2 linked regions of the Kluyveromyces lactis genome follow. The protein of the gene in region 2 interacts with the protein of the main gene of each other region in a biochemical or structural test. Links are inferred from orthologs where the notes say so. Each region holds a gene or a part of one and is shown on either strand. Other genes may lie near its edges.

Region 1 (2,628 bases), on a different chromosome or scaffold from region 2:
TACGAACATTCCTCAATTTATTTTGTAAATATGCGAACATATGCATGTAAGAACAAACATGCTGTGTTAAAGAATGGCTAAAAGAAAGGGTGCTCTTTGAGAGGGAAGTGTCTAATGGGAGATACTCAGAAGAGTGCACTGTCCCGTATACCTTATGGCAAAAAGTTGTCACATATATTCAATCTTGCATAGTATATTGGTTATTATTGGTTTAGAGCTAGTCTCGTGATTTCAGTCCTCAATATGAATTTCAAAGTCGAAAAGAGAAAAATAGCCATATTATTCGAATATCATACTAATAGGCAAAGAGTGAAAGAAATAGAATAATAGTTTATTATGATTAAATATTATATTATGAGCTCATATACACATTTTATTGCTGTTTGCAGGTATCTTCAAGGTCTTTGTCGATGTTACCTAGATTTTCATCTCCTTGTATTTCCAGCATCTTGGCTAATTCTGACATATCGTTTCCAGGATCGTTACTAGTTCCCTTTGCAACCGGTGAGTCACCGAGTTGCTCTAGTTCATCCAATAGATCTGCGATCTCAGCATGGTACTTTTCATTCGTATAATCATCGCTTTCGAATACACCGATGATCTGATTCACAAGTGCATACTGTTTCTTGTAGTTATCAATCTTGTCGCTGTGTTCGGGGTCTTCTTCGTGTAATCCCATCCACTCGGTGAATTCTCCCTGCATTTGTTTCATCGGCTGATATAGCACTTCTTTAGAAGACATTTGTGAAAGCATTTTCAAAATGGCATTGTCCATTCCTTCTCCGTCCGTACCGTTGCCATCGCCGTTTTCCACTAGTTGATCTAGCAATTGGGAAAGAATATCGTCTGAGTTCTGATTTTTCTTCTCTTCCTCCAAACTTTCATCCACTTTCGTAGAATTTTCTTTCAATCTATCTAGGGTGTTGGAAATGATATTCTTGAAACCAGTACCGCTCTTCAATTGCTCCTGAACGTGTTTTACACTGTTATGGTCTTTCTCCTTCGATGCATCTCCAAGTACAGTTAGCAATGTCTCGAAATTCTGAACCATTTCTTGGTCAGTATCACCGCCTTCCTGCTGCATCAATTGTTGGAACTGTTTCTGCAAATCTTCCATCATCTCGACTACTTCTGGATCATCGCTCTGCGTAGCAGGCTCACCCTTAGTAACTGCCTCATTTGGAACAGTTTCTTGTTTTTCCTGTTCATCCAGTTTGCGTGGATCCTCTAAATAGTCATCCAAATCATCAAATTCGTCAACTTTGTTGTCTGACATCGTTTGTCGAAGTATCTGATTACTATCCGTTGAAATTTTGGTGGTGCGTAGCCCTTACTATTAATTATACCTCAGTTAAGGTTTCTTTAGTCACTGTCAATTCTGAAAAATATCACTTTTTCTTCAAAACACTATTGATGCTTTTTCTACAATATCAAAATCATCTTCAAAATCACAAACAAAAAGACGTATCGCACGGAATATCATATCCTCCAATTATTCAACAACGGTAAATCTGAGTTAAGGCTCTATTTACAACAGGGCGCAACGTACCTTAATATATTTACGGTATCTGTATATTAAAGCGACTCGACGATCAGAACGGCCGAATAATATAAACAGTCATGAGTAGTCTTTGTCTACAGAGGTTACAAGAGGAGAGAAAGAAGTGGAGAAAAGATCATCCTTATGGGTTCTTTGCCAAACCAACTAAAAAGACAGATGGATCTATGAACTTGCAGAAATGGGAGGCTGGTATCCCTGGAAGAGACGGCACTCTCTGGAAAAATGGTCTTTATCCTTTGACCATTGAATATCCTGATGACTATCCGTCAAAACCTCCTAAAGTGAAATTTCCAGCAGGATTTTATCACCCTAATGTTTATCCCAGTGGAACCATTTGCTTATCAATCTTGAACGAAGATCAGGACTGGAGACCTGCTATCACCTTGAAACAACTCTTACTTGGTGTACAGGATCTTTTGGATTCTCCGAACCCTAACTCACCTGCGCAAGAGCCAGCTTGGAGAGCTTTCTCGAAAAACATTAAGGAATATGAGAGGAAAGTCTCAGAACAAGCTCTTAGGTATACCAAGTGATACCTCCATAATACAACTTCGGAAGTAAACCATTTACTGACAGAGAAAATGCAAATACGCAGATGACGGCAGATATCAACTTGCGGGAAACCCTGGGCCTTCCCCAGCGTAAAGCGCAAATCAAATAAATTTGCTGTATTCTATGGCTCGATTTATTCTACGGTGTTGACCATTGTTATATGGCTGTATAGAGATATATCATAGGATGGAACGATCCAGTAGGTGTATAGTTCTCGTGTAAAATTTAAAATTAATATCAAGAATAATGCTAATGAATACTTGATTTATTCAATTATTTTGTATTTTACTATTATCAGGTGTAGACTGTATATATTTATTGTTTTATTTGTTACGTTCATTTTGTTTGTATGCAATAAAACTATCCAATGTAGAAAAGCAATCCTGACATCTTTCTTTCAGTTGAGGATCTTTGTTCTTGTCAACAAACTTGAAAACATTCTTCAAATTTAATGAAACCTGTGTTTGAAGTATCGAAAGATAGTTCAAGTTTACAAATACTGGTTCATCGTAATC
Region 2 (3,464 bases):
AAATTAAACCTGGGTATGAATCCAAGTTCTTCAAAAATGATGAAAGTTTTTCCATTGATGATTTTAAGGTAAAGCTACAAAGATTCAAGAGTGTGAATTTGGATGATGGTTATGAAGCTGGCAGTACCACGTCCAGTTTTAATGGATCATCAATTGCCTCGTACAATAAGTCGAAAAGGAAAAATAAGTCATTTTCAATTTCTACCATGGATGACAAATCGAGTGATATTGGTGACGCGGGTGATACTTCCTTGGATCAAAGCAGTGACGGTGACGAAGAATCAACTTCAATAACCAATATACCTTCATCGCCACGATTAGGTGATCACGCCGAAGCTGCTGGTCATGGAAGCCATCAGTTTCCGGCTACGGATAAAGACTTCCTGTATTACGAAGATGAAAATATGGTCAAAAGACAAGACTCTAGTCATCTGGTGGGCCCGTTGAAATTTAACCATCGCTCTGTCAGTGCACATAACCATGAATATGATGATTTAATGGTTGCTGCCGTCTCTTCTCCTAAATTCAAAAAATATTCGTGTTCTTTCAACACATCATTTGAACCCGTATCTCCGATGAACAAGCTGCAGCTGCCATCAGTTAACCAGCAAAATTCAAAGACACCTATTAGGGAAAGCTCTGTCACTCCTCTGAAATTCAATATTTTTTCAACACCTAAAGATTTCAATAAAGATGGTCTGAACCCACCGGCGTCTACCAGAACTTGGCAAAGCCCGTCTCGTCTATTTGAAGATTATTATGCGTCATCACCAGTGTTTTTCAGAAACGTAATCAATCAATCTATAGATGATTGTATGATACAGTATGACACAGAAAAGAAATGTATTGATTCTCCCCGAAAGTTGAGTCTCAGAGATCAAACTTCTCCCAAGGAATCCAGTCAATCAGGATTAATTGATCACTCCAAATATTCATCAAACATTCTTTTTGGTGTTGATGTTTGTTCAGTGTGGAAAAGGGCGATTGCTCATTGTAACAGCAATGATGAAGTAGATAGCTATCGAGAAGAGGTAACAAAAAACGATTTGGACCCTCCTTTTGATGGGATGAACTAATGTTTGCTTTCTTTTTCATATAGAGTCTGTCGTTATCTCGATGACCATATTTTTTGTTTTTCTTCACAATCTGCCTGACGCTTGGGTTTCTTTATATGGCTGAGTTATTTGTCTCCTTTATTTCTTTCAATTTATTTCATTCCTGCGTTCAATTATTGTAGTGTACGCGCCTTTCTTTTATTCATTGGTGTCCTTTTTAAAGTATTTTTATTTGCAATAGTTATTGCTAATGTATGTATCATTATATCAATCATATTTAATTCTTACATTTCCTTCTAACCGATATTTACAATCAAAGGATATTATCCTGATAGACCATATGGCTTTGTTATTTGATCTGACTTCGTTTCATCGTTGTTTAATTAGCTCTGAATAGTGCTTCAATATTATGCCATACTTTGTAAATTACTAAAATACGATAAAAAGAAGCTAAAAGCAGATAATCCGAGTTACCTTCTGAAAAGTATCAAACATTAAATGCTGGAGTGCAGAGGAATCAACCAGAACTGTCATGAAGCTAAGTGTACCTGAAACTATATCGAATCCTCGTGATTTTCTTCACACGAGTGTTCCGCAACTTACTGACCTCGATTCACTTCTTCGATGTCATATCTGCAAAGATTTTTTAAAGGCATCGGTCTTGACGCCATGCGGTCATAGTTTCTGTTCCATTTGCATAAGAAAGTACCTTCAGAAAGAGAGCAAATGCCCATTATGTCTCAGTGACCTCACTGAGTCTATGCTACAAAAAGAGTTTCTAGTACAAGAGATTTGTTCAAGTTACGTGAAACTGCGAGGTTCTTTGCAGAAACACTTGACAATATCATCTCAGGAAGAGGAAAAAGATAATGAAATAATAATATCTGACGAGGCAGATACATCTGTAGGTACAAAGAGGGGTACTCCAGATAGCCCATCTTTATCTTCAGTAAGTACTAAAAAGAGAAAACATGATGGTATAACAACGTTGTTAATGAAAAAGAAAACGGATCATCCACAGCGGCAAGAGAAGAAGGCACAATGTCCTATATGCTCCAAGCACCTGCCGCTTTCAGAATTAGAAGGTTCGCATATTGATGAGTGTTTGAACAAAGGTAGTAGTTTGGAGAGATCGGATTCTTTTGAGATTTTGGATGAACGTACACCCTCCCCTTCGATGGAATCTTCGCATCAACCACTAGAAGAGAAGACTAGCCTGCCGTCTTCACATTTGCTAGAGGTAAAAGAAAAGAAGGATATCACGTACCATAACGAGAGGTACTTAAATTCTGGGCTGCTGCAGCAAAAGGAAAATAGATTACCAAGATTGGATTTTCAGTCTTTATCTATGACACAATTGAAACAGAAGCTTGCTTCTTTGGCTCTACCATCAAATGGCACCAAACAGCAAATGGTAGCGCGATACAAGCATTACGAAATGTTATGGAATAGTAATTTTTTAGATTCAATTGATCCTGTTGACGAAAATGAACTTAAACGTCGTCTATCCAGTTGGGAAGCTAAGCACAATACAGACCATTCTTCTGATAGCAATAGCATAACTAACCTTCTCAGGGGTAATAAACGTACTAATGCTATAAGTGCCATGATCAAACTTTTTAAAAGCGATAGATTTGATAGAAAAGGTTGGATGAGACATCACACGTCAACGTTTAAAGCATTAAAATTGGAAGCACAACGTTCCGATAAACTTGCAAAGATGAAGAAGGAAGAGCTCTCCCAGAAGAGTGATGCGAACTCAGAAGTAAGTTCGGAACCTATACTAAAGATTGATCAAACGTCAGAGAATAATTAATAGAATCTAATATTCTCAACTTTTCATTATTTATCGTATATCAGTATATAGTATCTATAATTCATCTTGAATGATGTCAGGAGATTCATTAAGGATATCTTCTCTTCCCTCTAAATTGCGACCTCCAGATTGCGATGGGGCTGATTGTACTCTTGTTTCCTCGACATTGCTATCACTTTGGGCACCCATAATATTTTCTTCGATTTCAGCGTTGGTAGGGTTTAATTCAGTGTCCAATATGTCCGAAGAGATTACAGGTGACTCAAAAGCTTCTATTGATTCAATATTACCGACAGCCTTAAGCTCGTTTAAGTCTGCAGCTGCAATTGAATCATCCATCGCCGATTATGAACTTCCCGATGTTGTTAATTCTTCGGAAACAGTAACTATGAATTCGCTTTCCTGATCCGCTGTTTTGGTAATGGAGGAAGAAATAGTAGTGCTGGATGAGAAGCTCGATTTAGCTTCTGTATCCTTTTCGGCAGATGAAATGTCTGATTCTTCGAGTTCTGTTTTATCAGTGGCTACAGACAGTTCAATTTCTGTCACAACGACTGTAGATGTGACAAGTTCTACGTCAAGGTTAGACTTTA

Evidence for each region.
Region 1: the proteins of RAD18 (region 2) and UBC9 form a complex in vitro, tested with the Saccharomyces cerevisiae proteins (2 studies listed by BioGRID, with this or other methods). The link is inferred for Kluyveromyces lactis from reciprocal best matches to the Saccharomyces cerevisiae genes RAD18 and UBC9.

Annotation. Positions count from the first base shown.
Region 1 is NC_006041.1:441,826-444,453, forward strand, and holds UBC9 (E2 SUMO-conjugating protein UBC9), read left to right. Parts: upstream 1-1,620; coding exon 1,621-2,094; downstream 2,095-2,628. Other genes in the region: PEX19 (Pex19p), read right to left, coding at 374-1,276; SYO1 (Syo1p), read right to left, coding at 2,437-2,628. UniProt on the Saccharomyces cerevisiae protein: E2 ubiquitin-like--protein ligase mediating SUMO/Smt3 attachment to septins and PCNA. Seems to be involved in degradation of S- (CLB5) and M-phase cyclins (CLB2).
Region 2 is NC_006039.1:765,254-768,717, reverse strand, and holds RAD18 (E3 ubiquitin-protein ligase RAD18), read left to right. Parts: upstream 1-1,587; coding exon 1,588-2,871; downstream 2,872-3,464. Other genes in the region: HCM1 (Hcm1p), read left to right, coding at 1-1,076; GTPase-activating protein SED4, read right to left, coding at 3,217-3,464. UniProt on the Saccharomyces cerevisiae protein: E3 RING-finger protein, member of the UBC2/RAD6 epistasis group. Associates to the E2 ubiquitin conjugating enzyme UBC2/RAD6 to form the UBC2-RAD18 ubiquitin ligase complex involved in postreplicative repair (PRR) of damaged DNA.